Linked DNA regions of Astyanax mexicanus. The protein of the gene in region 3 interacts with the protein of the main gene of each other region in a biochemical or structural test. Links are inferred from orthologs where the notes say so. Each region holds a gene or a part of one and is shown on either strand. Other genes may lie near its edges. The genes, in order: myod1, ccnb1, rb1 and cdk4.

What was found.
Region 1: the proteins of rb1 (region 3) and myod1 form a complex in vitro, tested with the Homo sapiens proteins (2 studies listed by BioGRID). The link is inferred for Astyanax mexicanus from reciprocal best matches to the Homo sapiens genes RB1 and MYOD1.
Region 2: of the proteins of rb1 (region 3) and ccnb1, one has a biochemical effect on the other in vitro, tested with the Homo sapiens proteins (2 studies listed by BioGRID). The link is inferred for Astyanax mexicanus from reciprocal best matches to the Homo sapiens genes RB1 and CCNB1.
Region 4: of the proteins of rb1 (region 3) and cdk4, one has a biochemical effect on the other in vitro, tested with the Homo sapiens proteins (40 studies listed by BioGRID, with this or other methods). The link is inferred for Astyanax mexicanus from reciprocal best matches to the Homo sapiens genes RB1 and CDK4.

Annotation. Positions count from the first base shown.
Region 1 is NC_064409.1:62,751,475-62,759,732, forward strand, and holds myod1 (myoblast determination protein 1 homolog), read right to left. Parts: upstream 3,352-8,258; 5' UTR 3,089-3,351; coding exon 2,579-3,088; intron 2,371-2,578; coding exon 2,292-2,370; intron 2,172-2,291; coding exon 1,945-2,171; 3' UTR 1,050-1,944; downstream 1-1,049. Other genes in the region: zgc:172145 (ferritin light chain, oocyte isoform-like), read right to left, coding at 5,230-5,523, 6,654-6,800. UniProt on the Homo sapiens protein: Acts as a transcriptional activator that promotes transcription of muscle-specific target genes and plays a role in muscle differentiation. Together with MYF5 and MYOG, co-occupies muscle-specific gene promoter core region during myogenesis.
Region 2 is NC_064408.1:19,581,412-19,589,495, reverse strand, and holds the start of ccnb1 (G2/mitotic-specific cyclin-B1), read right to left. Parts: upstream 3,401-8,084; 5' UTR 3,263-3,400; coding exon 3,242-3,262; intron 3,003-3,241; coding exon 2,862-3,002; intron 2,763-2,861; coding exon 2,664-2,762; intron 1,393-2,663; coding exon 1,210-1,392; intron 1,119-1,209; coding exon 960-1,118; intron 854-959; coding exon 617-853; intron 533-616; coding exon 392-532; intron 308-391; coding exon 197-307; intron 107-196; coding exon 5-106; 3' UTR 1-4. Other genes in the region: slc30a5 (zinc transporter 5), read right to left, coding at 4,643-4,813, 4,914-5,042, 5,458-5,684, 6,992-7,235. UniProt on the Homo sapiens protein: Essential for the control of the cell cycle at the G2/M (mitosis) transition.
Region 3 is NC_064424.1:7,182,755-7,190,933, forward strand, and holds the start of rb1 (retinoblastoma-associated protein), read right to left. Parts: upstream 3,335-8,179; 5' UTR 3,114-3,334; coding exon 3,016-3,113; intron 579-3,015; coding exon 458-578; intron 364-457; coding exon 260-363; intron 1-259. Other genes in the region: dlat (dihydrolipoyllysine-residue acetyltransferase component of pyruvate dehydrogenase complex, mitochondrial), read right to left, coding at 6,284-6,413, 8,022-8,158. UniProt on the Homo sapiens protein: Tumor suppressor that is a key regulator of the G1/S transition of the cell cycle. The hypophosphorylated form binds transcription regulators of the E2F family, preventing transcription of E2F-responsive genes.
Region 4 is NC_064431.1:16,097,700-16,106,119, forward strand, and holds the start of cdk4 (cyclin-dependent kinase 4), read right to left. Parts: upstream 3,446-8,420; 5' UTR 3,179-3,445; coding exon 3,176-3,178; intron 1,086-3,175; coding exon 865-1,085; intron 1-864.

The DNA.
Region 1 (8,258 bases), on a different chromosome or scaffold from region 3:
CATGGTACTCAAATATGGTTTTCAGATACAAATACAGATAGCAAAAAATAATTAAATATAATTCACTTTATAATTTCACTTTATATATTATAACTGGAGATTGGCGTTCTCACGTTTTTAAATGAATGTTAAAATTTCACAGTGCGGCAAAAAATTCAGCCGCTCAAAAACCTAAAGACTGTGTGTGTGTTTTGTGCTACATTCACACAAGGTGGTGCTGCAACTATTTCCGCAGGACTGGCAGCTTAGATTTTACATAGATAATAATAATAATAATAATAATAATAATAATAATAATAATAATAATAATAATAATAATAATAATAATAATAATAATAATAATAATAATTATTATTATTATTATTAGTATTATCTCTTAATGGAAATGTAATTTTAAAGTTAAGTGATTAAAAAAGACATATGTAACAGGACTAAACACTCAATCGAAACATTATTTTTGTTATTTTTTAACAACGAAATATACTTAATTTTACACAATAGCACTGCATTATACTAATTTATATTTAATAATATTTATATTTATACAGTAACAAGCAGAAATTCAACTGTGACTAATTTAACCTGACTGCATGTTCATTAACTTAATTTGTTAAATAAAAAGAAGACTTATTTGAAAAATAATTTAGTAAATCTGTGGGATCATACTGCTGCGTTTAGTAGTTCGTTTAGAAATGAACTAATTTGTCATTAGGTTATGCATATACGCATAGTTATGCGTTGTTTATATAATTATTTATGACACGCTGGGTATAACAATCGGCAATACAAAACATTTTTTTTAAATGGCAAATATTTTATGTTAGTCAAACTATTCGAACGTTTTGGAGTTAATTTAAATATAAGAAAAAAAGATATATGAAGACGAACAAATAAACTGACTAAGTTAAAGCGACATTTAGTTGTGCTTATAAAAATAAAATACAATTTAAATTAATATTTAAAGTAAATGCTCTTTGAAATATATATGTTATGATTAAATTGTTAAAAACAGATGAGAGCCTTTAAAAAAAAGATCAGACGAGAGCAGGTGTGTGTATAAATAAGTATTTCTTTATTAATCCACATTCACTCACTGAAGAAGTATAAATATAAACGTCGGACACAACAAACTCCTCACACAGGCAGCATTAAATACAAAGTTTGATCACTTCTCCTTTTAACAAAACAGCTCTTATATACACATATACAAAACTGGTCCTCTACTTCTCATAGATGAAGTGTTTTCTCACATGAACAATCAGGAAATCGTAAAAGATGAAGGAGACAGAAAGAAGAGGTTCAACAAGGGAAGATATGGTCACAATATTGCAGCTGACAATCATATAAATAAAAGGTTTTAAGAAACTGACTTCGGCAGAGCCATCGATACCATGGAATTTTATATTTTCTACAGAAAAAAGATAGAATAAAAAGATACAAAATAGTAAAGGACAAGAAAAAGAAAGAAAGAAAGAAAGAAAGAAAGAAAAAGTCCGAACAACAAGAAATAAATACAAATACAATAATGAAGAAAGAATGTATAAAAGTACAAAGAAAGAGTGAAGAGAATGAAAGAAAAACCTAAATGAATATCATCTGAAAAAAGATCGGACTAAAAACAGAAGGACAATAAATAAAAAGAAAAGTGTGGAAATACAGGAAAGAACGAAGAAAGAAAAGTTTGGAAGGAAGAAATAAAGGAAAAAGAAACCAGGAAAATAAAGGAAAGAAAAAATAAAATAAAAATAAAGATCCAGGAAAGACTAAATGAATTAAAATGAAGATAGTGTGAGAAAAGAGAACGAAAGAAAGGATAAAGGTAAAAATTTATGTTCTCCCACTTCTGTTCTCCCGCACAGGAACAGCACAGTCCTGAAGGCTCCTGTACACCGCGCGCGCGTGTGTGTATGTATGTATGAGTGTGTGCATGTCTGTGTGTGTGTTCTACAGGACTTGGTACACGGCGTTCCCGGGGGAGGGAGTGCTCGGTACCGTCTCGCTGAGCGCGGGCGCATCGTGCGGAGAACGCGGGCTGCTGGTGCTGCTGCAGTCCGACGGCTCGTGCGTCGCGAGCGGCTGACATGCGGGCGCTTCCGTGGAAATTCGCTCCACGATGCTGGAGAGACAGTCCAGACTGGACACTACTGTGGATTTACTGCTCCGCACATCTACTGGAGAAATGAGAAAGAATCAGATGTTATTTTTTGTAGTTGTTGATTCACTTGAATATATTATTATAAAATGTCTCGTGACGTTTCATGCTTGATTATTTATTTGGGGTGGTATCTTACCGTTTTGACTCTCGTTGAAGTAGGAACTGTCATAGCTGTTTCTTCTTCTAGATGGACATGATAGGCCGTTGAAATCCATCTGAAAGAAAATATAAATACATCAATTAAATGGAATCAACAAAACAAAATATTTTAGAGTTATAGGCAATATAGTCTAAATAATATTATTATTGTAATATAAAGTAACAAAAGAGTAACTAAAAAAGAGTTGACACTAGAGTCTGGTTTAGTTGATCAAAGTGACAGCTCCTGACAGTAAAAGTCTTTAGAGATCTCAGATTCCTCACCATGCCGTCGGAGCAGTTGGACCTGGGGCTGGACGCGTCCGAGTCCCCGCTGTACTGATCCAGGACCGGGTAGTAGGAGTCCTCCTGGCTGCGCAGCAGAGCTTGCAGGGACTCGATGTAGCTGATGGCGTTTCTCAGGATCTCCACCTTTGGCAGCCTCTGGTTGGGGTTGGCCGACGTGCATCGCTTCAGCGTCTCGAAGGCGTCGTTCACTTTGCTCAGGCGCCTCCTCTCCCGCATGGTGGCGGCCTTCCGCCGGTCCGCGTTCGTCGTCTTCCTCTTGCAAGCCTTGCACGCCCACAGGAGACACCTGCCCGCCTGGTGGTGGCCACTGGGCGCGCGCACGTGCTCGTCCTCCGCGTGGCCGTGCTCGTCCGGTTTGAGCAGACTCACGTGCACGAGCCGTGGGTCAAGGTCCTCGAAGAAATGCATGTCGTTGGTGTTGAAGCACGGGTCGTCGTAGAAGTCGTCCGCGGACGGGATGGGGAACGGGATATCCGACAGCTCCATCTCTCTTTTTTCTGACCCCCCAAAAAACCAAAGTGATGAAACTTTTTTTAAGTGTGTAAAATAAGGTAGGAGTTGAGCCAACACTCCAGAGAGCCTCCAATGCGCTCAGACACTTTCTGTCAGGTTTCTGTCCTGTTTAAACACACACTCTTAATGTCTGCAGTGAGTGAAAGACAAGAGAGAGGGAATGAGTGAGTGTTGCAGGTAGGGCTCCACCAACTCCTGTCCCAGTGCAGCCTGCAGCTACTTGTTGCTGAGGAGGCGAAAAGGCCAGTTTATATGGGCCGGCAGCTGGGTGGGGAGTGGCCTTGGCCTGAACCGCAGGCCAATAAACGCCCTGGCCGAGGCGATGGGGGGCTGGAAGGGGTCGTTTGTGCCGGACGAACACTAAAGACAACAATAAAGGTTAGAGTGAAAAATTTGTCAGATTTGAAAAACTCAGAATTTAAGAATTGGAAGACTGAAAAATAATGCTGAGAATCTTAAAACATACCTGGAGATTGAAATTTAGTCTATGGTTTACTTGAATTAATATGAATAAGAAAAGAAATTAAACTTTTTCATAATATTTTTTACATAGCAAATCCTGTAAGCAACCAAAATATGCTGTGTGTGTTTCTTAGTAAGTCTGACTTCTAAGAAACACATAATGTAAGCGCATGGAAGCGCACAATATATGCAGTGAAATGGTCTATATTTATATGTAGTACATAAGTTAATATATACTAAAATGTTTTAAACTGAGTTGGCTTTAATATATCATTCTAATACTGAAACTCCACCACCCATTTAATTCTGTTTTTATTTTCTAATTCCGGAACACACACTTCCAAACAACCCCTGAGACTCTGAAGCAGCAAATCCTTTAGTATTACATTACATTCGATACATTACACAGCTACAAAAAGTGGGCACGTAAAGCAAGGTTAAATATTTTGACTGTAGTGTCTGCTATAAGTACAGATCATCTACACTACTGGAATATCTATTCTATCTTAGCTTTCTTTCTTTTTTTCTCTGATTAATATTTGCTGAGAAGTCTAATTAGTACAGACAAAGTTATTTTAGTCAGACCTCTAAGAAAAGAATACATGAATAAATCAAAAAATTCTGACAGGGGAAATTCATTTTAGGAGTTCATTCGGTTCATAGGCTACTTATAACATGTACTAGCCTACTGTATTTAGTTTGTCTCAGAAATAGAAGCCAACAGTGCCATGGGTCCACCAACAGATGGCAGTAATGAGCCAGTGAGCCACCGGGAGAGAGGCCTGGGTTATAATCCCATTTACAAGTGACAAAATCACAGCTTTCACAGCTCCTTTTTAACAAGGAATAATCTTAACAGAGTTATCTCTCTGGTGTTTAAGAAACTGTTGCCCCACTATTAAATCATACTTGAGACTTTAATTTAACAGTTTCAATAGATTTTATTGGTTTATGGCTTAAATCCTACATAAAACACACACATGAACACAAAGAAAAGTAACAGTGCAAAGAAGGAAACTCTTGTCTTCCACACATACAAACACAATACAAACACGCAGAACCCATCACAAAACACGCTTTAAAAGCAACAGAAATGATTAAAAATACTTCTAAAAAAATAGGTGGAGTGTGAGATTAAAAATCTAAACCTCCAATACACAATCCAGACCAAAACATTTAATCAGTGTCAGTCAAAAAATATAACAATGAATCAAATTCTGTCTATAAAATACTGCATAATTTTTTTTCATATAGGGCACTTCTTAATGTAAAACAGCAAGTTTTGTTCCACTCTACAGGCTTTTTGTTTTTACAAAAACACATTCATAGTCACTAAAAAACATATCAAACTTGTCAAAATTTCTCTTAGTCATTCATTTTTAATAATCTCTCCCGTGTTTTTAGCACTTCTTTTGACAATATGGGAAATTCACATTATTTTCCACTTGCTCAGTACTTTTCAGCTGTGGGGAAAGGTAATACCAAGCTTCAAGAACACGCCATTCAAGAAACCCACAAATCATCTCTTTCATGCCACAAACAGAACACACTCCATGCAGGCTGAGCACGGGATCTAACAGTGCAGAAAGTATTGATAGGAAATAACTGCTAGTCAGGCCATTAATGCATCAACAAGGGGCTTTACAGGACATTTAGGCACTGGCCAGCTCCTCATAGAGCTGGTCAATGAGGTACTCTCCATATCCTCCAGCACCATCACTGGTGCAGCCCAGTCTTCGAGCATTGGTCAAGAGGTCACCTAGCAGCTTGATCTTTGGTGCGAGAGGCTGGAGGAAGTGGCTCTTGAGGACACTGGCAGAGTGGGGGTCTCCATGTTCACGTGCTAGCTGAGACAGCTCCACCATGATGGCCATCTCCTCCTTCCACTGGCCCAGCAGGAGTTCCAGGGCAGGGAGCAGCGCACACACCTGCTCTGTCCCTGGTCTCTGCATAGCACACACACACACACACACACACACACACACACACACACACACACACACACACACACACACACACACACACACACACACACAAACTGCTCAGATGTGTAGTTCTACTAATTTTAAAACTAACAGCGAATGTATAGACAAGCAATACTGTATCGCTTAAAAAAACAGTATTGATTTTTAATCACTGGTTTCTATGTAAAGATTGGAGACAGTCAGTGGTTCATGTTGTGTTTAAACCCTATCCACAATCTCTGATTTTAGATCCCACTGTCTTGATTGCATTCAAATATAAAACTTTTCTTTATCTCAGACTTTATAAATGATAGTGTTTTTATACTATTTGTACCATTTTTACTATCAATTTAAATCTATTGCATGTACTTATTAAAAATATCTGTATGGCTAAAATAATAATATATATTTTTTTATATGCATACAATTTCACAATCAAGCAACTCAACCAGCTCCATTTAAACTCACTCACGCCTTCGTCTCTCCATGCATCAGCGGATAACAAGGTGTTCCAAATTGCTGCTGATGGACCCTCACCAGCCTCACTCCGGATCAATTTTACATGAGTCATAAAACTAGGGAAGAGGAGGAGGTTGGAAAAAAAGAGAGGACCCAGGCTGAAGTGGCAGCAGAGCCAGTGCCATAGTGTACATCTGGAACTACAATTAATGCACTGTCCTTCCGCTTTCACATTAATCTCCCCAATTTTCCGGAACTCAGGGAAAACGTATACCCTGACAGGCATTAGAGAAGAGATCCCTGCAAAGCCCACAGGGGTTTATCCTCCTCTCTCTCTCTGACCCCTTTTCCTCCTAAACTGCTGGCCTATCCAGTCAAGAGCCCCTCCAAAAAATATTTTTAAAGGTACAGAGGTAATATGATGAGGATACAATGTTGGCAGTAACTGTGGGCAGTAAAATAATCCTGCAGATCTGTGAAAACTTTTGTTTCCTAACAGTGAGACCGAAAAAGTGATAAAAAGTGAAGAATCAAAACCTGAAAAGGGGCATTCTACTATTATTTTATAAAGAAGACAAGAAACATCTTTATTCACCATATTTCACAGTAACACTACAGCACATGATATGCTGGGCATAGACAGCAAGGTTTACCTGGATATCTTTGCTGCAGTATTGTCCTCCACGCTCGGACAGGTAGTGTAGCATGGCTTCCGCCTGCTCCTGCTCTCTTGTGGACTCCAGATAGAAATATGCAGCCACACGTGGCAAAGCCAGGTCATCTTGCTCAAAAATCTTGGCCTGAAATATACAATACCCACAATTTATTCCGTTCAATTCTGAACAGAGGACAGTACCATAACATCTTACTGTCACTACCTCTAAAGTGGCATTTTTATAGGAAAGAAAGAAATAAAAACCTAATTTTTATTATTTGTATTCATTTTTGTAGACCATTTTGAAGCATTTCTGAAAGCCATTTGACTTAACATGCCTTCATTAATTCATTATGAAATGTTGAATGTCTGTGCCACTGCAACGAAAACATCTGCTCCAGCTTCCTTAGTTGAGCTTAATATTCGCTTACATTTTATACAACTAATATTTAATGTGGCACATAATGAACACAGGAGTGATTTTTTTAAACTAGCACTACGATTACTTTGTAATTTGGTATTGTAGATACTTAATTTTGATTATCAAGAATAATCAAGGTTATTCAATGTATGGTATAGTTTAGAGCTTAGGGCCCCTGTAGGCCAAACAAGGAAGTGCTCATAACACTGGCAGTAGAAACAATATTAGGATGAAAACTCAATAAATTATAACTGATGCAAAACTCATTAAAATACAGACTGTGTAATATTTAAGTAGGTGACTTTGCAGAAGCGAGGAAGTCGTCCTTGTCTTTTCTTTGTCCGCTGTTCTGGTATATCTAGCTCAGTTAAACAGGCTGGTAGGAGACCATTTAATGAATTCACTTAGTTTCAAAGCTTCAGTCATTCCAAATGACTGGCCCAGTATTTATACTTTCATTTATGTATTTTAAAATATTTATTTTCTTTTTTATAGTGAGATCATCTGATTTATTATTATGCTACTGGGATATATAATATTAAAAGAAATTGTTTTCCAAAACAAATCCCTTATTCTAGCTTAATTTTTTTTTTTTTTTTTTTTTTTTTTACGTATTTTTCGATGAAATGAAATTTAAATGTTAAACCCTGTCTAAAATTAAATGATTGCTGTGGAAAGGGGTTATCATGTACAATGTTGCTGGGCCTTCTCACACTTCAAAGGGAAATGAACAAACCTAGAACTAAATGCACCTCTACATGATGTAAATGTTGATTAATGCTCTGTACCATAATGTAAAACGGCCTAATAGTATGTAATCTTCTGTTTTTTCTCATAGTTGCAAATCCACATACTCTATTTTATACTGCTTCTTATCTAGTATTTATTTCATATCCTGATTTAATCTTCTGCATGCTAATGATTATTTTTCTGTTAAATATTGTTCAGCAGTGTGTACCTTGTCTGTTTTTTTTGGTCACATGTCTAATCTTTATCCTGCCATTGTTAAGCTAGCGTATTGACCTCCTTTTTATTACTTCAAATCAGCCTTTCTTAGTCAGTGCCAGGAGTTATTAAACTCTGAGAGGGTAAACATGTGCAGTTGGACTGGATGTGGCAATTTTGCACTTTTACATTTGCTTGTGTACATGTAAGGAAATGTACCTATCTCTTATAGGTGCA
Region 2 (8,084 bases), on a different chromosome or scaffold from region 3:
CCCACTAGGAAGCTTGCTTTGCAAGGTCCTTGACCAGTGATGACTTGAGCTGTGAGATGGAGGCAATCCTCATCTGCTTCTGACTGGAGTATTTGTTCTTAACAGCCTAAAAACAGACCAAAAGGTTTAGAAAAGTTCACAGCAAACTAAAGTAATCTACAAGCATTTTTGTACAAATTACATACATGAAACTTACCAGATGTTTTGAGAGCCCTTCATTGACCTTTACCACATTTTTGGCAATATGCTGCATCACTGGAATCAGGCTGTCCTCAGCATAGCCCATGTAAAACTGCAGAGTTGGGGTCTGTCAAAAACCAAAGAAAGATTTTAAAGAATGATCTTGTGAAACTTAATTCAGGAGTGAGGACCATAAGTAAATCAGACTTACCCATTCACCACAGTTAAAGACCTTAAGCATGAGGGCAAAAGCAGCACTGGCAACTTGCGAGGGAGCAAAGTGCACCATGTCGTAGTCCACCATGGTGAGTTCTACAAAGTATTTAGCCAAGGTGTGGTGCTCTGCAGTAACCTGCAAGAAAGATTTGATTTAGTCTTAAACCCAAAACAAGACTAAATTAAGAGGCTTCTGAAGGCATTAGTAACCATTAAGTACCTCTCCAATTTTTGAAGCCCTCCTCAGGAACTGAAGGGGCAGAGGTCTACCAAAGCTAAACTTCAGAACCCTCAGGATGGTCATCTCCATGTCCCGGATTTCAGCAGTAGTGTAGGCACGGTCGGTCACAAAGGCAAAGTCTGCAATCTCTGGTGGGTACATTTCCTCATACTTGGAAGCAATGAACATGGCAGTGACACCAACCAGCTGGAGTCTCTTCTTGGGAACTGGATGATCCTGAAAGAGCCAAATATTAGATTACAAAATCCATTTAGGTCAACGAACAATCCAACTAGGTTTAAACTTGACTTTACAGACCACAAGGAAGCTAAATGTTACACACCTGAAGAAAGCGGTCAATGATTGCCACAGTCATGTACATGGTCTCCTGCAGCAGCCTAAACTTGATTTGGACCTGGACAAGCCAGTCAATAAGGATGGCACGCATGTTCCCAGTGACTTCCCTTCCTTCCAGATACCTTGGCCTGACAGCCTGATCAGCCTAGGGACACAAGCAGAGGCAGGATGTTACCAAAAGCTGTAGCTAGTCAAGATAATTGGACAGGAGGGCACAAGGGAGGTTATACACCAACCTCAAGTTGCCGGAGGTATTTGTAGATGTCCTTCACATATTCACTGCAGAGCATGGGATTGTCGTAGTCATCAGCATCCACATCTTTGATATTGAGCAGCACATCAGAGAAAGCCTGGCACAGATCCTCAGGTGCACAGCCAGAGGTTTCCATAGGCACAGGGGAGGAAGGCTCAGACAAAAGCTGAAATGAAAAGAGGCAAACCAACTAAAAAAAAAAACACAGCCACATTGAGAGCAATGGTAACTTGATCATAAGCATGTTTCAAATCCTGCAGATGATTTAAAAAAAAAAAAAAAAAAAAAAAAAAAAAAAAAAAACCTGCATAATTTATAGTTTCTGCTTTAACACCCATTGGAACTAAATAATTGTTTGCTAAATGAGCTAAAAAGCACTGCATCAGGTCTGCTGGTGAATTGAACACTAAAAAATAGGGCATCTCCAAAGGCATGATCCATTTTATCTAAACATGTTTAACACATTTGATACATGTTAAACACTCCATAAGCCTTTATAAGTTCCTTGATCTTACCCAAAGAGACTAAGTGCTAAGCTGCAAGTTTCCACTCCAACCAAGCTAATCTAACCTTTTTGCTGAGAAACTGAGAAGCTAAGCTATAAACAACCAGGATTGGTTCGATTTTGCTTTACTGAAACACAAAGCTGCAGCCAAATTTGACAATTAATATTTAAATTAAGAGCTTCTAGCAACACTACATATTTCAAGTTTGCTAGTGGTAGCAGTTGTAGTTAGAATAAAGGGCATATAAAACCCAACCCAGTCATCCTCAGTACCTACAAGGCGTGGGCCATAGGGCTTTAAAATAGTAACAAAAAGTCAGGGTTTTCTTGCAAATAGTGATGTTCTTGGCAAGAAAACATGGAGGTTAACATTTTAAGACACTACTGCTACAAAATGACATTTGATTGGGTAATTTGGTTTAATTTTTACAAGCTCAACTCAATAATCTAACATTTCAGACTAATAATGCACTCAGGTCTGTCGCTAGTTGATTTAAGTAGAAGTGTTTACTTTTGCTAAAAACAGCAGATATGTTGCTAAAATAATCACAATATTTGCAATAACAGTAAAAATGTAGTAATATTATTCAATGATACATAGCACAGCCCCACTACAAACAATTTAAACAAAATAAAAAATGCAATTCATGTAAGGCAAAATAAGTCTGCCAGTAACACTGAAGATAGTATAAAGCAAAATACTGCATCTATTAAAGAAACAAAAACCATTGAATTCTATTGAATTATTGTACAGCCCTAATGGTCCCCTGCCTCCTCCCCACCCCATGTAATAAAGTAGGGCAAGAAAATGGCTTCTCCACCCGAACTGCAGATAAGCTATACCACGTAGTAGCTAGTTTTAATATTATTAGCAAACAGATAACCCAGTCAAGACATGTTACTCAGACATTCATGCAAATCAAAAACCCCACCTGAACCTCATTTTGAACTGCAGGAACTTCTTTCTTTGGCTGCTTAACAGGCTCAACCACCTTCTCAACCACTGCAGGAGCAGCAGGCTTCACATCCTGCTTCAGAAAACAAGTTCATTCAAGTTAGACAGAGCACATTTCACAACAAAATTCTGTAGTTAAAATAAGGGAGGATTTTCTTATATAAAAGCTAGATACCTTTTTCTTCAGGGTCTGTCGGGGCAGCACTGCATTTCCAATCTCTCCAAGAGCATTTCTGGGCCTTAGTGAAGGCTTGCTTGCAACTACTGCTTTTCCAGCAACAGCATTCTGGTTCTCGCTGCTGGCCAGGCGAGTACTCTGTTTTAAAAGGTTAAATATAGAAAAAACATGTTATATTAAGTTAAGCTTACTTAATATAACATTCACTAAGCAGATTAAACTGCTCAAGTAGTTAAAATCGCCAAGTAAGACTATAAACATGAGCATTTAACTAAACTAGACTTAACATTAGTTAAATATAAGTCAACATACAGTTTAAGCACGTAAAAACAGCCGTATTTAAAAGAAGAAAAGGCTTTTAAAAGGTGTAAACTTACTCTTGTGACGCGGAGAGCCATGTCTGAGCTGCTGTATCTCAGTTTGTGGGTCTGTAGAGTGAACAGGTCAGCGCTGAAACAGCACGTACCAAACCAGCATCTCCCTCAGGTTTAAATTGTCGCTCTTTCGAACCTGATTCGCTGCGTTCTAAAACTCGCGCAATCTGATTGGCCGAGACACAGCTGATAACAATGCGTTTCTAAGGCGACTGATGAGCACGTGACCCATCAAAGGGAGGGGACTCAGTGGTTAAATCTCTCCTTCGGGTTTTTTTATACAGCCCTGTACCGCCACCTACTGCTCCGGAGGACATGTACTGTACAAATGAATGGATTGCTATTTATAGGTTTATGTTTGAGTTAAACGAACAGTGTTGTTTTATTCTATAAACTACGGTCAACGTTTCTCCAAAATACCAAATAAAAATATTTTAATTTAGAGCATTTGATGATGAGAAATGGCTGAAATAACCAAAACGATGCAGAGCTTGTTTAGACGTCAAATAATGCAAAGAAAACAAGTTGATATTCATAAAGAGTTCAATATTTGGTGGAATAACCCTGGTTTTTAATCACAGCTTTCATGCATCTTGGCATGTCCTCCTCCACCTGTATTACACACTGCTTTTGGATAACTCCTGGTGCCACTCCTAGTGCAAAAAATCTAAATTCTAGCTTGGTTTAATACCTTGTTATCATCCGTCTTCCTCGAGTTTATATTCCAGTGGTTTTTAATTTGGTAAAAAACTCATAATTGTTAAGTAGTCTGCATGTATATGTATATATATATATATATATATATATATATATATATATATATATATATATATATATATATTAATAATTTGATTATTTTTAAAATGATATATATTTTTATAAAGTAAAAAAAAAAAAAAAACAAGAAAAAAACAATCTTGGAAATTTATATAAATTAAATATGATTTGTCCTAATATATATTTATATTGACTAATACTACAGTATATTAGATAAATGATCATTCATACGAAATCGATCATTCTATCACATATTAACAACAAACACTCTAGAAATATTTTGTTCAATATCTAAACAAATACCACATAAATGGTCAGACACTATCCAGCCACCCACCATCAGTACCTGATCTTGCTTTTTTGTTTTTAGTCTGGAAGCTTTAAAATCCATTTAACACTGTTCTAACTCGAGGAGTTATGCCATTTCAGAAGATTAAACACAATTACCGCTACAAAAATGGGACGAACACCAAACACGGATGAGCTGGTGTCTTCACCTTTTGCTTTTTTTTTTTTGCATTTGCATTTGCTTTAATCAATTTACCTTTTATAATAGTCACACAGAAATAAAACCACAAGTAAAATTGTTTTAATTAAAGAAAAAAAATCATTTACATATACAACTGTTTACATGATACATGTGCCATCTTTGTAGTATTTCATGGACTCCATCTGTTGTGTCATTGCCAGAACTTCGTGGAATCCTGTGCTGAGGCCAGACATGTGCTGAAAATAGGCCTCCTTCTCCACCTGCACCGTCAGATTATTCACACCCGCATCCTTTAGTACCGAGGTTACCTGATAGAAACAAAACCACAACAGTTAATTCATGTAACAAATACATCAGATAGCTGACGTTCATTTGAAAAATAAGAATGAATGAGAACTCCTTTCAAACCTGCTGAATTATTCTCTGTTCCACCACATCGGACATGATCTGCAGATGAATAGTTCCACCCAGAACACTGGCGGAATGCCTCCAGAAGTGTGGGTCACGGTACGACAAAACACCTTCTATTTTCTGGATCTAAGTTGGAAAGAAACGGCTGTTTTTACTACATTCTGCAGTACTGTGCAAACGTTTCACGCACCTCAGACCCTGGAATGTAAAAGCTCTTTATCTGGGCAGATTTTTTAATTGCTTAAAAACATACAAAAAAAAAAGCTGTGGTTTGTGTTACCATGAAAAGAAGTTACATTTCTGGTTAGAGTGGTGTCAGGTTTCAGTGTAGGATAGGAATCTTTGTGTATGCTACAGTAGCAGAAGCATAAATTGGTCTAAATTCCAGATACATTCAACCCAGAAGCATTAATCAGCTTTAAGGTCTTAAGATCTTTTCACAGTACTGATACTGTTGTATGGCGCCTGTCACTGTATATAACCATATTCTAAAAAGCTACACACTTTCTCAAATTTTCTGCAAAAACACCTAAATTTATACCTTTTCCAGAGCAAAGTTGAGGTCCTTCTCATTCTCAGGTGGAATCCTGAGCAGGAGGACTTCACAGGCATCCTTTAACAGGGGAATGACGCTCAGAAAGATGAGTGTGGCGATGAACAGGGAACATATGGGGTCTGCTATCAGCCAGCCAAACTGACTGATGAGCACTGTAGATATGATGACCCCAACACTGCCCAATGTATCGGCCAGGACGTGCAGAAAGACACCTGAAACCATTCACACTCAGAGTCAGTGCTCATAACAGTCAAGAATATAATAGAATAGGAATAGAAGTAAAGTAGACACAGGTTTCATTTCTAGGTCCTATTTTATTGGCACTACCAGACAAGTTGAATGTGTGCATTGGTTTCTTTCTGCCAGCAATTGGTGGAACTTACAGCAAGTAAATGTTCACAAACATTTAGACATAGTGTATATCCAAAATATATGTACTGCATAACATTAACATTTTAGAATTTTTGCATATCAGGGTGAAAAAATGATAATAATGTATGAGAAACTACAAAGTATGAGTACTACAGTCTGTATTTAAAGAACTACAAAGTACTCCTTGCAGACAGTGAAGCAGATGAAATTAACAAAGAGTGTAGAAATAAGGAGGTAATGTTCATTTTATGGTTAATTCTTCTGTTATAATCTTTTCAATTGGTGTTTAAAGCTTAAATATTAGGCACACTTAAATTCCTTTAATTTTCCCAAAAAGCATTAGTGCACCTTATAATCCGGTGCGCCTTATGTATGAATTCTACCAATCAGGTTGTAAGGAGCAATAAAACCACGCCGCTGAAGTACAGCGTTATTAAGGAGATTAAATGAAGTGTCCCCAGCACCGAGGCTGGAGCAGTATTAGCATTAGCTGCTAACTGCGCTAAGCGCTAGCTCTTATGCAGTTCAGAAGTGAGTATATCGGATTGTAGCCTGTGTGTTTACCAGATTTGCCCTGATCCCTATAGCTGGTAGCACCCTGGCTTACTGGGACGCTCAGTGTTCCGCAGTGAAGTGTTATAGGGTGGCATTTACTAGTGCTAACCGAGCTAAAATACTGGAAATCTGAGCTTACTGTAAGGGAACAGAAGCACTTTACTCAAATTTACCCAAATAAACAGTTTTCAAGAGAGAAATCTGTGCAGATTAACATCCAGCGCTCGTTTGACTTAAAAAAAAAATATTTTAAAATTTAAAAATTAAAATTATTAATAAAATTATTTTAGAGATTAACAGTTTTGTTTAGTTAGTCCCCCTTAGCAGCAAGACCTGCTGAAAATAGACCAGAAAACAGACGTTCATTGATAGTGTGCCTTATAATATAGTGTGCCTTATAGTCTGTAAAATATGGTATGTTTAAACCTCCTTATTCATTTCAGAAAATATTAATTGGTGTCACTTTTTTTGTAAACACAGTGTATTTTCTTCTGCACTAAAAACACGGTAATGAGTTAAAAAAAAAAAAAAAAGAGAGAGAAAACACAAGAATAGAATAGACAGTATTGCTTAAACATAAAAGTGCAGCTACCTCTCATATTAGCATTCATGCCACTTCCTCCAGAGCCATGGGAATGACCATGGCTGTGAGAATGGCCGTGGCCCCCATGGCTGTGTCCGTGGCTTCCATGGCCGTGTTCTCCGTGCCCATGTCCGTGATGCGAGTGACCATGCTCATGGCCTGAGCAGCTGCTCTTAGAAGCCCCATGGGAGTGGGCATGGCTGAAGGCACAGATGCCCACTAAATTCACAAGCAGTCCACCCACAGACACAGGCTGTTCGGGAACAGAATATAAAAATAAATGAATATAATTTTTCAGATTTATAATCCTTGCAAAGTTCATATTCTATTAGAGTGAAATTATATTATCACATTTAGTGGCAGCTTCTCAGACAGTGTTTAAGCCTACTTTCAATTAATTCTTCATTCAAAATGCTGTGTAGTTGAAGACTTGGCTTAATCCCTGTCTAAGAATTGACCTCTAATGGCAAGTAAAGATGCATCTCAAAAAATAACTAAAATCATTGAAAAATTACTTTATTTCAGTAAATCAGTTTAAATGTGAAACTCATATATTATATAGATGTATTTCACACAGAGTGATCTATTTCATGCATTTATTTATTTTTTTTATTGTTGATGATTATGGCTTACAGCCAATGAAATCCCAAAAATCAGTGTTTCATAAAATTTGAATATTATATAAGACCAATATAATGTAGGATATTCACTTTCTTTTTAAATGCACCTGTAACTTTGCATCAGACAATTCAAATACACAACACTCTTTCAAATAAGAGCACTATAAATGGTTCTTTAATCAATTCCATAATTTTTTAAAAGTTTGTAACAAATAATGGGTGAGTGCGAATAACCGTTGGATTGGTAAAGAAGATTAATAACAAGTGACAATTCTTTAACCCTCTTTGGTCCATGAACTCACTGGTATGGTAATTTTAGTGTAGAAACTCACTGTCTGCAGCTCGTCGTGTGTAACTGACAGATACACGTGTCCATTATTTGTCTCTCATCCATAATTGGTAGATTTGTGCATGTGGCTTTGATTTGTTTATAACTGACCAAGGAATTGTATAATTGTGGAACGACTTAAAATACAGCCTTC
Region 3 (8,179 bases):
GACAGAACAGCCCTATTATCACGATATGGATTTTTAATATCATGATATTTCTGTGTCACGATATATTGTATACGATATAATATTGCCCACCCCTACGCTTAAAACCAATCCTGTATATAATAAGAGTTACAGTTATAAAGACATGTGCAAACTACACAGTTTTCTTACATAGCAATCACAAAGTCAAAGCATTTCAATCTTTTCTAATTTATAGCAGAAATAAAATTGATACTGACAAGTTTTAATGTCAATACTTTACCTCAGACCAACAGCTTTCAGTAGTTGTGTAAACGTGAAGCTGATCTCTTCCAGGTCTACAGCAGAAATAAAGACACACACTCCCCACAGTGGCCTGTTTGAATTCTGCAACAAACAGACAGTAAGTTACACACAGAAATTGCACTAGAGACAGGAATTGTAGAAACCGAATAATAATAATAATAAAAAAAAAACCTACATTAATTTTCTCTGCCGATATGGCAGCAGACGTCCAGATGGCCCACGCTCTGTTACACACCGTGTTGGTCACAAAAAGCTCCTTGCAAAGGGTCACGAAGTCAGAATCCTTCTCTGTGTGCCTGGCAGAGAGAAAAGGTAAATAAAATTAGTGTGTGAAGATTTTCTCAAATATTTTTTTTTTAAATAGGGGTGTTCCATATTGCATCGCTCATGAGAATATTTTTTAATTTATGAAGCAATAAAAAAATAATAATAGTAATACAGTGATAAATTAATAGCGACATTCTCTTTGACAGCAGTATATTTTGTGTACTTGTATTCTATTTACTGAACCTTTGGCCCAGTCTTCCAGGATATCTCTGTACTTAGCTGCATTCATCTTTCCTTTCCTGTCCCTGAAGCTAAAAAAAAAAAAAAAAAAAAAAATACCACAAAAGCATGATGCTGCCACCACCATGTTTCACTGTTGGGATGGTATTGGGCAGGTAATGAGCAGTGCATGTTCAATCCTTATCTCAACAGACCAGAGAATCTTATTTCTTATAGCCTGGGAGTCCTTTATGTGTTTTTGGTAAACTCTATGTGGGCTTTTATATGTCTTGCACTGGCTGTCTGTCTATCTTAATGAATGTCTCTTGTCTGTCTAGCTATCTGAATAGCAGTATTAAGACTATTTGAGTTAAATCAGTAAAACAGTCTGTCTGTGTACCTGTCTATATCTATATATTAGAAAGGCAGCAGTGAGACTGTTTCAAGTTACATCAGCAAAACAGTGTCTGTCTATCGAAATGCCTATTGAGACTGTTCGTGTTACATCAGTAACAGTGTGTCTGTCTGTCTGTCTGTCTGTCTGTCTGGCATCAGACTGTTTGAGTTAAGTTAAATTAGTAAAACAGTCTGTATCTCTATATATTAAACAGGCAGCATTTAGATTATTTTAGTTAAATCAGCAAAACACTCCGTCTGTCTGTCTTTCTATCTATCTATATGTTATCGCTGTGACTGTTCGAGTTAATCAGTAAAACAGTCTCCCACTATCTATATATTAGATTATAATGGTAGAATTAAGATTGTATGAGTTAAATCAGTAAAAAAAAGTATATGTACCTGTCTGTCTATCTTTATGTATATATTAGAATAGCAGCATTAAAATAGTTTGAGTTAAATCAGTGCAACAGTCTGTCTGTCTGTCTGATTATCTATCTGAATGGCAGCACTATTAGACTATTAGAGTTAAATCACTGCAACAGTGTATTTGTCCCACAATCTATTTGTCTGTGTGTCTTTCTGATTATATATCTATCTGAATGGCATCGCTATAATTGCTCAAGTTAAATCAGTAAAACAGTCCGTCTAATCTATCTGAATGTCTTTTTATCAGTCTATATCGATCTTTTTCTATGTGAATGGAATCACAGACACTGAGTTAAATGAGTAACACAGCCTGTCTATCTATTTGTCTATCTGTCTATATATACATATATATAATGGCAACATTGAGACTGTTTGAGTTAAATCAGTGTAACAGTGTCTGTCTGATTATCTATCTGAATGGCAGCATTGGGACTATTAGAATTAAATAAGTGATACAGTCAACCTGTCTAAAAAATCTGTCTTTCTGACTATCTATCTATATGACAGCATTAAGACTGATCCTACTAAATCAGTAAAACAGTCTGTCTGACTGAATAACAGCATTAAGGATATTTGAGTTAAATCAGTAAAACTGTCTGACTGAATAATAATATTAAGGATATTGGACTTAAATCAGTAATATTGTCTGACCGAATAACAACATTAAGGATATTGGAGTTAAATCAGTAAAACTGTCTGACTGAGTAACAACATTAAGGATATTTGAATTAAATCAGTAAAACTGTCTGACTGAGTAACAACATTAAAAATATTTGAGTTAAATCATTAAAACAGTGACTGAATAACAACATTAAGGATATTTGAGTTAAATCAGTAAAACTGTTTGACTGAATAACATCATTAAGGATATTTGAGTTAAATCAGTAAAACTGTCTGACTGAATAACAGCATTAAGGATATTTGAGTTAAATCAGTAAAACTGTTTGAATAACAGCGTTAATGATATTTGAGTTAAAGCAGTAAAACTGTTTGACTGAATAACAGCATTAAGGATATTTGAGTTAAATCAGTCTGATTAAATATCTATCTGAATGACAGCATTGAGGATATTCGAGTTAAATCAATGAAATGTGGAGTTAGAGTAAAGTTGATGTATTTAGTGGAGTATATCAGGATGTTATTGAAGGGAAGAAGGGGTTGTGTTGGGAAAATACGTGAGAATAACTTGTTGTGACGAGACTGTTGACAAAACAAAAGTTAGCTAGCAGGCTAACTAGCTCAGTTAGCTAACTCTGTAGCTAGTTAACTTGTGTAACTTACTGTAGGTTAGCTAGCAGACCGAGCTAACTCATAAACTATCTAACTACCCAAACTAATGATTAAACACAAGATATAAACAGAAGAGCGGACAGAGCGGCCGCGGAGAAACACGGAGCCGGATCAGCAGCGCGGGGTTCTTACTGTTGCGGGCTGATGGCGGAGCCGGACTGCCGGAGCTCCGGGGAAGAGGCGCCCCTCCGGCTGCTCCCGGTCCCGGAGCTGCGCTTTCTGGGCGGCATGGCTGATTAAATCCTTCGCGGGTCTTCAGACAGAGCGGGTTAGAGTGAATGGAGGTGTGGATCAGCTGTATGAGAGCTGGATCTTACTGATAACTGAATATACAGGTAATAAAAAACTGCAGGCAGGGAGTAAACCGGGTGAACAGGGGCCTCCCCGAAACCGCCTCCACTATCCAGCGCTGATCCCACAGCCTCAAACCGCGGGAAAACTCCGCAGCTCAACTTCCTGCTACACTCACGTCATTTCCGGAAACAAGAAAGCGTCAGAGACGGATTTTGGTACCTGAAACATTATTTTAAGTAAAATATCATACATACTTACTGCAAATTATAAATATTATATTTATAAATAATATTTATTGAAGAATATTAAAGTAAAATGTCATAAAAAGCCTTACAATTGTTCATATATGCAATATCACCACTTGTTTTCTATTTTTTTAATTAATTTTTTTAGCATGACACTTCTGTTTTTCCCCGCGGCACTGCTGTAACTGCTGTACTGTAAATTTCCCCCAACTGTGGGATTAATAAAGACTTATCCTAATTGTTAAATAAAATAATACTAATACTAATGTCTATTAAAATGGTTAATATTATTGGTCACTATGATTGGGAGATCGCTGGTTCAAATCCGTTCATGCAGTTTGCCATCAGCTGCTGGAGTCCTGAGAGAGCACAATTTTGCTTGCTCTCTCTGGGTGGGTGGATAGCACTCTTTTCTCTCATCACTCTAAAGGGTGATGTTGATCAGCACAAGGCATAATTGAGCTGTCGAGTGCACTGTGATGCTACTCCATAAAAAAGAGGCGGAGTCTGACTTCACATGTATCGGAGAAGGCATGTGTTAGTCTTCACCCTCCAGGTGTTGGGTCATCACTAGTGTTAGGGGGAGTCCTAATGAGTGGGTTGGGTAATTGGCTGTGTATATTGGGGAGAAATGGGCTTAAAAAATATTATTATTGGTATTTTTTTCTAGAGATGCATCAATGTGGGAGTTCTAGGCCGATATAACACATGTATATGTCTGCTGATGCCGATATACACAATAAACATAACTTACAGCGAGCCTAGACACCCCAGTATACGTATTTCACATGTTTTTAGTGGTTTAAACTGGTCCTTACATAGACTGTTTGCAACTTTAAACCCTGTTTTTCTTCATAACCATTACATCAAAACCATCCTAAACATCCAACATCTCAACCCGAATTTTCCCACACACACAGCGAGATTGGGCAGATTATTCCCTCTCTTTCTCTGTATTTATTTCTACATACAATACAAAATAGCTATAGTTTGTCCTTTTTTTCTCTCCACCCTTTTTATTTTTCCTGTTATTTTTATATTATACACTATGACCACAGAAACTATAATTATCTATAAACACTAACAAAGCTTAATTAGTCCTCCATGGGCGGTGATTAAAATTAACTTGTGCCCGGCGTCTCCAAGTCCTTTTCTGGCGTACAATAAATATGTCGGCAAATATTGGGTTTGAAATATCTAGACATTCCCTAAGGGGTGGAATTAGATAGTTAAGACCCCAATCCATCCTCTCCTGTTTCACTTCCTCTGGTCCAGAGGTGTCCTCATTCAACCTACATAAAATCATATCTTTGCATTATTGTAATTGTACAATCGATCTGTGCACAGGCATGCGTTCAGGCTTTTATTTTAAAATGCACTAGCTTTCTTATATGAGTAATAACATGAGACTATTTATATCTTTACATTTGCTTTACACATTTCTTGTTTAATTAAGGATTACATTAAAATATTGATTAGGGAGCCTAAATGTTTGTGCATAAAACAACAGCAAAAACACACAAAGTTGACCTGTGAAAGGTGCAAACATTAGGTAAAGGGGTTTATTACTGGTTGTATTTTCTCATTCAAATGAACATATTGAACAAACTCTGGAGTTACCAGTAATGGACACTCTGTAGTGTGATCTTCGGATAAATCGTAGACTTGTCCACAGGGACAGCATTATAAACACAAGAGGCATCAGTATGTCCTAATATTTAGAGGTATTTAAAAGTAAAACCCATATGATAACCCCAAAAATGTTAGATCTCCCAGCAAAACTCAGATAAATATATAAACTTTGGAGGTTTTAAAATGTATGAGAACATTTATTTTCTGTCTATTTTCTGTCCCTCATCATTGTGTTATGTTTTTGTTCACCTTATTAACTAAAATAAAACCATACATCTTGACTTCCCTTTGCCTTTAGCTGTAACCATAGATATTGATTTGCCAACACTTCCTGGCGCCCTGAACCCAGTGTTCTCTCTCTCTCTCCTCTGAGAAGAGATACTTATTAATATGCAGACCATCATTTCAGTTCAATCTGAGGATCTGATTTTGTTTATTTAAGAAGCAGTTTGCCCAGCTCTGCGTGTTTGTGCGTATTCAGTACAGAAATATAGGTCTGAAAATATTGCCATATTAAAAAAAAAAAAAAACATTTGTAAGAAATAAGAACACAGAACAAAGGCACTAACGTGCTTTGTCTGGAGTGACAGATGTAATAAATAAACGCAGAGTTCAGCGTTCAGATAGGGTTGCCATATAGACCAGAGATGAAACCACTACATGTATGTACAACTCAGGAAGCATGAAACAACATTTCAGAATTGTAAAAAGGTCTTAGTAACCATAGGAAAACCTTTAACCAGATAGAGACATACAGGTGATAGGTTCCTTTGGCACCGGAGCGTTTCAATATCAGTTCATTTTGTCACTTTGTCTCCAAATGTACCAGTTAAGTGAGGCTTAGAGAGACCACAGCATGGGGTAAAAGCCTGGTGAAGAAAACAGCTGAATTTAGACTGTTTTCAACCCCTAGAAGGAAGAGGAATCACAACTTGTGGTGCTTTTAAAAGCTCCCTGGCAGAAAACAAAAAACATTTCCTCATTCAACATTTCCATCTACTGTCGACTCTACAAATTGACCTAGACAGTAAAGCACTACTCTGGACCTGTCGTGTTAAAGCTGTGGAATTACAGTACCCACGGGAAGTGAAAGATAAGTGTGAAACCAAGAGGGGGAGAAAAGAGCCAGTTATAATTCTGTCTGCATAACATCTGAAAGAGACCTCCTCCTTTAAGCTATCTGAAAGTCCTGGTATATGGTCAGCTGAGGGGCAGGGCCAGCCCCCCGCTCAAAGCAGCATATTCATGGGTTTCTCCAGGAACTTGCGGAACTCGGCCAGCCACTGAGCCCCTACTGCTCCGTCCACCACCCGGTGATCACAGCTAAGAGTAACGGACATCACATTGGATACATCAAACCTACAAAGAACAAAAAAAGAACACAGGCAAAAATGAGACCAATGCATGTAAAACCATGTTTGAAGAAAAAAAAAACATTTTATTTGCATTCTAAAAACCCTATCACACTTCTACTGAGTGGTAAAACTCTTGCATCTGGACTCCAAATAAAAAAACAGCAGGAGCAGTGACTTTTTAAGCTTTCTCGGTTACATGACATCGCGTTCAGTAGCTCCTCCATTTCCACATGCTGTTGTGTTTACGTGGATCTCTGTGGAAACGCATGCCCAAAGTGTAATTACGGTGCATGGCAGTGGACAAATAGCTATTTTATTAAATGCGAGGAGACGAAAATCAGAGATGTGAATCCGGATGGGACTAAAATGACCAGACCACGGAGTTCAGCGAAAAACAGAGGACGTCTGAGAAAAACACATACATGGTTGTTCTGGATGGGAATAAAATCACAAAGGACCCCCTGTAAAAGAGAAAATTACCCCAGAGTGAGATCTGTCACTACTGTCCGTGACAAGTCAGCAGATGAGCGAGATGTAATTACTTTCTATTAATACGTTTTGTGTTTTATCACAGTTTTGCAGTTCAGCACAAGCGAACACTAATGTGTGGTAAACACTCAGCGTATACATGCAGTGGCCAATAACAGTTTATTTGCATAAAAGTGTCAGAACCCTTAAACAGCTCATTCTAAAAAGGACTGAACCTGGTAAGAATAGAGATGGTGAAATCTTCATCTTTATGTGAGAGCAATTTTGTGTAAAAACCTTACAAGCATGTTTTGAACAAACCATAGACCAATTTTAACTATATAACTATGTATAAAAAGAGGTATAATATGTCTTCTGAAATTTAGATTTATAATTTTATTTATGAATAATCACAGAACATTTTTGCGATTCATATAGCTAATGTTTTAAGCAATTGACACCACTAATTAAATATTCTGCATTTATTATTTTAAGCAGAAGGACACGTGTGATATATGACTATTGTTATTTATCCAGAATAGAGTTATGATTAATTTCATTAATTTATAGGCGTGCGATTAATCTGGACACTTTTTTACACAAGTTTAGTGCCAGTTACCTCCAGTCACATTTTCACAGAGCCTGGGGACATATTAATATCAGCAGGCACATACTTTTGTTTGATGATAAAGGTTTTTAAATAAACTGTTAATCCATACATTAAAATATTCTAATTTAAAATAAATCTATAATAAAGTTAAAAAGTCTAGTCTATTATCCAGTTACACCACAATACACTATAATTTATTCTCCCTCCAAAAAACACAGAGCAGTACCAGCATTTAAATGATTTTACTAAGCAATTGACACTATTAAAACAAATATAATTATTATTTTATTTACATTTAAATATCCATTATTTAACGCTTATGTCTTAAGATGCCTGAAGAATGATGCTGTGATTAATCTGATTTATTTATTTAATCAATTGACATCATTAAAATACATACCAAAACCACTAAAAAATACAATGGGCAATACTGAGGTCAGAAAAAGTTACTGATTTTGTGTCCAGTAAAATAATAGACAATTTAATGAACCAGTTCACAGAACACCATGTGACCGACAGCAGTGAAGCTCTCACCCTCTCTCATTGTCTGCAGGCAGCAGCCTCTTCTCAGAGCCTCCCACTGCCAAGATGCATGCTTGAGGAGGATTGATGATGGCTGAGAAGTTCTTGATGCCGTACATGCCCAGATTGGAGACTGTGAAAGTACCACCCTGTAAAAAACAAATGACAAG
Region 4 (8,420 bases), on a different chromosome or scaffold from region 3:
TAACACTGATGTGTTATTTGCACAAAAAATACAGGAACAAACTCCTATGCTGTTTCTAGCGCTGTTAGCTCCTGTCTGACGAGGCGCATCTGCGTGGCTTCAACTCTGCCTGTGGGTGGTGGCCATGAATATTAATTTACAGGTTGACGTAGACACAGGTTCTTTTTTTCTGATCGACTCGTTTTTCTGAACATTTTCTTTTACTAGCTACTGCAGACAGTGGAGATTAAGGAAGAGTTTCATGCGCAGCATCCATATACAATTCAGAGAGACCTATTGTATTTCATAAAAAATAAGAAGGCGGATTTTAGTGTAAGATGAAATTTAATATCAAGGTTTCCTACACGAGCTGAAGCTGAGAGCTGGTACTTTTTGCTCCTGGGTTCCCCCTACAGGTGTGGAGAGTAATTCCACACAATAGTTAAACTAAGACCTCTGTTCGTACTGATACACATTTATCTTGTGCGCTTGTTTATGGCTGCCTAGACTGCTGCCTTTTTTTTTATAATTGTCTCATTCACCGTCGCCATGTCTGTTGTTCTCAAAATCTGTTAACTCTAAAGTTTCCTCTAGTTTACAGTATGTGTTGCTCAACAAAGAACGCACAGGATGTAAGCAGTGACCGTTAAGTAAATAAAGCAAATATAAGTGAGTATTATAATCACTGCAGTAAATATAAATCTGGCTCTGTTTGCACTATAGTGGACAGCTGTACACGTGCATTTCTGGACAAGCTGTGAGATGTAGAAGCAGTGGACTGATGTGGTAGAGGAATAATAAAGGATTTTACATCAACATGACTCAGGTTAGGCAGAGTTACATAGTGCAGCATTCTGATCCGAAATGGGATCAGACAGTACATACTTGACAATATTTGGATGGTCGAACTGCTCCAGTCTCTTCAGCAGGGCCACTTCTCGAACTGTTGACAGCGGGAGGCCCTCCTGGTCAGTCTGAACACGGACACTCTTCAGGGCCACAAACTGACCACTCTGTGTATCCCGAGCCTTATACACAGTCCCATATGCACCACCGCCGATCTCCGCCACCGGTTCATACTGGACCCCGCCCTCCTGGGTCATAGCCTGCAGAATGAGGAGATTAAAGAGCTAATAAGAAATCAATCAATTTATGTAAACCTGAATTCATCCATTGAATACTTAATATAATATCTTCTGAATATAGACTTCAAGCCTACAGAAAAGGAAAGATAATGGAAACAGATATTTGGAACATTTCTCTTGGTCATTATAAACACCAGTAAGACTGACAAATAAAAAGATATGAAGGATGCAAAATGACATTTTTTGGCCTAAACCAAAATTAAAACCTTTGACTGAAAGCTGAATAGCAAATCATATGGGATCTCACAATATAATATAATATATTGATTAGGACCATCAGGTGGAGTACTGAAGAAGTAACTTCATTAAGTCAAATTGTGAGACGTTTTAATAAAAACAATGTTTGACACTGGTTAATGATAATGTATTGCAAACTAAAATGACAATATATGTAGTTATTGGTATTTTCGATATTTTGTTTCACTTCTAAATTATTTGTCCTAATAACCTGTTTTTTTGCAAAGAAAATACAACTATTTAACATCAATTCTTTGGTCTTTTCACTTATTTGGCCAAACAACCAAAGTGCTGTTTTTGTTAATTACATCCAAACAATTTCGGCGAATGCCTAAAAACAATAATCACTTTTATTACTATGCAAAATTAGACACAAGTGAGTACAAAAAGAAATTATAGCAGATATGCATTGTGCTGTTGAACATCTTTGACACTTTCTGGCCACAAAAATTTGGTTGCCAAATAATTTAGTGGTTTGAGAGTATATAGTGCATCACTGCAAAATATAATACTACTTATTCCATAATTATTATGCAAAACTATGCATAATTATGTACTTATAACAGCAGAAATGGCTTGTGTTGCATGTAAACACCTTTAGGCCAAGTGTAATACTGAAATGCTTAATAAATGCTAAGTGTGTGTACATTTCCAAAGTGACAGGCAACCTAACATTCCTGAGGTTCACCACAAACACACAAACAAAAACACACCTTCCCCATAATCACTTTTTACAGATTAACACAGTTTGTTTATCACATTTAATGTTGTTTCCCAACAAACAAACACATTGACTGTGGTGGGGTATATTTTGTAATTGTAGATCATTTGCACACACTACCTTTACTCTGCCTGTAACCATTTTATTTTACATTACTTTTACTACTTAGTACTGTTTTACTTATTTTGCTTATTTGCTTTACTTATTTTAATCTATAGCTAGTTTTAGCTTATTTTATTTATTTTTTTACACATTTAAAAAAAAACTTATAAATTTAAGCTGTTAATTCTTAAATGTTTTACCAACTTATACTACAGTTTTTCTTTTTAAAGTTTTTAACTTATTTAACCAGTTTTTCTCCATTGTTTTCGTCTATTGATTAAATATAAGCTCTGTACTGTTTAGAAAACACTGGCATAGTTGTATTTTGCTGTTATGCGGTGATTATATAATGACGTACAAAGAACAGGATTTTTAGAAGACTTAAAATCACTTTGCTAACTTGATTAAACATAACTGGCTCTTGCCTTATATTCTCCGTTCCACCTTAAACGTACAGCAGTTGCCGTCACTGCACATCAGACGCCCCGATGGCGCTTGAATGTAACTGCTGCACATTTAAGGTGGAACAGACAGTCCGAAGTTAAGAGTAGCTTTGTGCGCTATTTTAGCTCTTTAAAGTTGTATATTAATAAGAAACACGTTTTATCATTTAATAAATATTCAGGTAACACACAGATGAGTTTATATCACATATATTTTCATGATTATTTCTGTTTAAAAGATATGGAAAGGCCTAGTGTTTCCATTGGTGCACTGACTGGCCTTAACCAGCTCCTTCCTCAACACGTGGTGGCCTTCGGAGGGCTCTTTGTTAATTAGTAAGAATGGGATCTTACCAAAGCTGATCACCAATCAATAATCAAACTAATCAATTAATCTGATCACCAAGCACATGCTCACACACTTTAAAAGACTCCCAAGGACGCTGCGTAATTGCAAGACACACATTTGGTTAAAAAACAACAATATCTCCTAAAATTACAAACAAACCGAATCACACATCGAATTAATAAACAGTTCAGGCTCTTACCATCGTATTGTTTGCGAAGCAAACTAGCACGCTGTCTCCAGCCAGACTGACCACAAATCACCCCAATATTACCCAATAACCACCCCAAATCATCACATCTGCGCGTCCTCGCGCCCCGCGCGCTCCATCCAACCCGGTTAAGCGTGCGCGCTTCGGTATTTTTAGCGTTAACGATTAAAACGCAAATATTTTTACGCTTTTTCAGCTTTCTCGAACTTTTCTCCCCTTCTCACTTTGAACTCATTGTGAAAATGAGATGCTTCCGGTCCTGTCATGGGGGCGGAGCCTAAATGTGGAATAAAGCAAGTAAAAGGGGCGGAGCGCTGGTTGAATGGGCGGGGTCAGCCCACCCACATACACCCACTGCTGGGCCGAGGCGCTAGCCACGCCCACTTCGATTTCAGGCAGGTGATAGAAGTTAAGGGGTTTTGGTTTAAATAATAAAACTTTTTTGTTCGTTTGTTTGTTTGTTTGTTTGTTTTTTGTTGCAAAGAAAATATCAGTGTTCATCATAAATCTTTTCACTTAGTTGGCCAAACACCAAAAGTGCTGTTTTCTTTAATTATCATTATTACAATGCAAAATTAGTAACAGGTGAGTACATAAAAAAGAAATTATAGCAGTTATGTATAGTGCTGTTGAACATAATTCAGAAATTTTTTTAGCCAAAAAAATTTTCTTGATAAATAATTTTGGTTTGTGATTATATAGTGCATCACTGTAAAATATACTACTACAACAACAACTACTACTACTACTATAATTATTATGCTAATCTTTGCACAATTATGTACTTTTAACATCAGAAATGGCTTGTGTTTTATATAAACTTATGGCAAAGTGTAATGCTGTAGTTGTAAGTGTGTATACATATCCAAATGATAGGCAACCTAACATTACTGAGTTATTGGAATGTTAGGTTAGGTCTAAATCTAATTAGATATTAAATTTAGATATTACAAAAAAAAACAATAAGGGCCCAGACTAATTTCTAAATACTGATGCCCAATTCAAAATGTAATCAAATATATTCAGTGAGCAACTACAAAGTTGGCCAAACCACCTGTGAATGTGGAGAGGACCACACAATGCAGCACTGCCTTGTTTGCCCCTACTACACAATCAGTGCAGCTTAAAAGATCTTGCCATATTCAATAAAAACGCAAAAGACTGTGTAAAGAAATGGGAAACAATCATATAACCAACAAGCTTCAAGAAACGAAAAGAAGAAGAAGAAGTGAGCAACTCATTAATGTTTTTTTTATTATGGGCACTTGCCTGTAAATATATTATTTAATGTAAATGAAGCAATGACATAACTTTTTGGATTTTAACATTTTGTTCTAGAAATTCTCAGAATTAGTCTTATAGGGTTTCAAACATTAATTGTTAAAATGGATGAATACAATAGCAAAACATACACCTTTAAAATGAACTATCTCCAGCAGTAACCCAGCACACCTCTGTAAATAATGTCACATGATCACACATTTACACACAGTCCTGTAGTGATGCATCAGTTCCTTTAGGGTTAAAAGCAAAGAAATAGAGGAGTGTGCTCTCTTAGCATTTCTTCTTTGGTAATAATCTTTCATTTGTAATGATATTAAAAATAATCATGAATAATTAAACAAAATATATTAAACAATTAAAAATTTTAACAGCAAACAAAAAGAGGGGCGTTCAAAGGTCTGGGCACCCCTGCTCATCCTTGTTCTGTTACAGGGGAATGTTGCAAGTGAATATAAGATGATTTTCAAAAGGAATAAAGTTTAAAATGAAAAATAATGTAGTAAAAATTTCAATAAAAAATAAATGCAAAAAAAAAGCTTTCAGATAACTTTTACCAAGACCTTAATTAGCTTGTTAGGACTATGGATTGTTTACAATCATTCTTAAGACAAAAAAAAAAAAACAAAAAAAAACAAGAAACATACAAAAAGAAAGTTAAAGAAGTTTTCTTTTGTATGCAGTATGTAATACAGGTTGAAGTTGAGTTAAACAATTAAGTAGCATCACTGTGAGTCAAAACATAATCTTAATTTATAAGCAGAAATTTCGATTGACATCAACATTGCTGGTTAATTTAAAACAGGTAGTTGCTATGTGATTGCTATGGCATTTTTTGATTGTTGCTATGGTGTTTTTAGGCAGTTGTTTCATTCTTGCTAAATTGTTAGTAGAATATAATATTTTAGTTCCTGTATACATGGGTCCTAGGATATTGCTTTGAGGTTACAAAGGTGTATTTTTTGGTTGCTACTCCAGCTGTTGTTTAGCATTTGTTAAGTAGTTTCTAGGATGGTTTCATGATGGTTGCCTCAGAGTTACTATGCAGCTTGAAGTATTGTTATAGCAGTTATGATCTGCTATGATGTTTTATGCAGCTGTCAGTGTGTTGATAAGCGGTTGTCAGGACATTTTTAATTGTTTTTAAGGTGTTGCTTGGTTGTTACTAATAAATTTTCATCTGGTTGCTGTGACCCATTGTTATGGTGCTGGTTGGCTGTTGCATTGGCCTTAATAATAGATGCAGGGCGCAGTCCATTTCCATAAAGTCACACAAACCGTGGCCAAGCACCAGTCAGCTGCTTCAGTGGTAATTATACTTTCTGTGATTAGAATGCACGTGTATCTGGACAACAGCAGAATCAGAGGTGACATTTTTATTGTCAGATCGAGACATAAAAAAAATCAGCTCATCTGATGAAGAGACACTGACTGTATTAGTCTCAGCTCAGAGAGAGAGAGAGCGATTTATATAAACATTATTTAAAAAAAGATTGATAGAGATACATAGAGATTTATTTATTCCAGACGAAAAGTGACTGTTTACACACACACACACACACACACGCATTAAAATTGTGATTAAAAAACAGGGTTATTCTGTCAAATATTGATTTCTGAACTCTTAAAACTTTATGAATATGAACTTGTTTTCTTTGCATTATTTGAGGTCTAAAAGCTCTGCATCTTTTTTGTTTTTTTTTCAGCCATCTCTAATTTTCTGCAATTAATTGCTCTAAATGACAATATTTTTCATTTGGAATTTGGGAGAAATGTTGTCTGTAGTTTATAGAATAAAACAACAATGTTCATGTTAATCAAATATATGCATATAAATAGCAAAATCAGATAAACTGATTCATAAACTAAAGAGGACTCTTGATTTTCTTCATAGCTGTATATATGCGTACATATATATTTATATATTTGCTTCCTAAACCTGATAACTTGGTTGTGCCACCCTTGGCAGCAACAACCACAGTGTATGACTTTAAATATGGTGTTCTTGTTCTTTTCCGGAATAGTGCATTTTTTGTCAGATGTAACAAGACTCACGCCTTCCAAAAAGTTCCACTTTTCTCTCATCAGTCAACAGAATATTCTTCCAAAGTCCTGGAGATCATAAAGATGTTTTTGGCAAATAAAATACTTTTAGGTCAGCAGTGTTTGTTGCCTTGAAAATCTCCCATACCACTCTTATAGACCTTTTATTATCACTATGTGTTTTACTGTTAATATTGGATTGTATGTTGATGTACAATGTGTACAATGTAACACACACACACACACACACACAAACACACATATATTACTATATATTTTTATTATAATTTATTTTAATGTTGAGTAAATCTATCCATCAGTTTAAACCCTTATTATATGTGCTTTTCGACTTTCTGATCACATACATTACTCTGTGTGCTGAGTTTAATTAAATTATATATTCCACTATCTCTAAATTTAATATTTGTTTTAATTCAGTGGTCTGGTTGAATCTAAGCGGCGCGAGGATTCATCATCCGTGCGTTGAGAGGGCTGTCGCTTCGTGGCAGCAGGGAGCCAATCAAAACGCGCCCCACTGCGGAAGGCGCGCTGTGATTGGATGAGGCGTGCTGTTGCTAGGCTGATATACAGCAGTGCTTTAAGAACAGCCTATATTCCTTACAGTAAATAAATAAATAAACACATCAGAAATAATAATAATAATAATAATAATAATAATAATAATAATAATAATAATAATAATAATAATAATAATAATAAATCGACTAAAGGTTTTGTTATTTTTTATCGAGGCCATAATATATTTATTTTAGGATTTATTAACTTTAGGACCTTATTTGTCAAAACAATTTGTTAAACATTAGATACAGAGTCTTTTGTTTTATTTTTACAGAGTCCATGATTTTGTTTTCAATTAGTAGTTAAGTATTATATTATAAGTATTATAAGTAGACAAATATTTCAAAGTCTTAGTGCAAAGCATCTTCAAAATTCTTCAATTCAAAAAGACACCTTATTTATAAATTATTATTATTATTATAAAAAAATATGATTTTTATTTAAACACCTTTTTCATCACTACGCTCAATGTTGAATCAATGTTAAATCAAATGAAAATTGATGTGCATAAATAAATCAACCCTGATGTTGGAGATCAACATTTGAGATGGAGAAATAAGGGAATTATTTAATGTAATTTTGCTATCTGGGTTTAGCTATTGTGGCTAAAGTGAAAAAGGATTTTATGGCCCTGGGGCCACATCTGGCCATTCACATATCCACCTTAGAAACAGAACCTACTTCACTGCACTTGTTGAATACATTTCTTTTACATAACAAGAAAAAGTACTGAAAAAGAAATTAGGCTACAAATCAAATAGAGGAATAATGCTTTGAGTTTAATGTTGTTGTTTTTTTATGAAAAACATGGACATTTTATTCATAGTTGTTTATGTAAATGGTGATTAAATAATTATGTAATTTATGTTTTTACTAAGAGTAATATCTTACCAATAACATTTAATGAAATCCATATAATTACTGGATTATTAACATTGAGGCAAATTGAGATCAATCAGTTGACCCAGCCCTAAAAATAGTCCCAGTGTCAAGCTGCCATTTAGTTAAATTAATTGCCCACCCCTTGTCTTTATAGTACTGTACAATAATTTTATATAATATAAATATAACAGTTGCAGCTGTTGTTTGTTCTTGTGTTCTTGTATTTTTGTGTCTTTGCCGGTGTGTTCTTACATGAAAAAGAAAATTAACACGAGTCTGTTCTTCATGTTGTTTGGTTTGGAGAAACATCCAACAACACTTTTATCATGTAATATAGTCAGAGTTAGCCTAGCTGCTAAGCTAAGCTGTGTGACTCACTAGTACCAGGCTGGTGGGGGTGAGGATGTGTGGGGAGGGGAGGGGCTTAGAGCACGTGGGTGTCACGTCACTT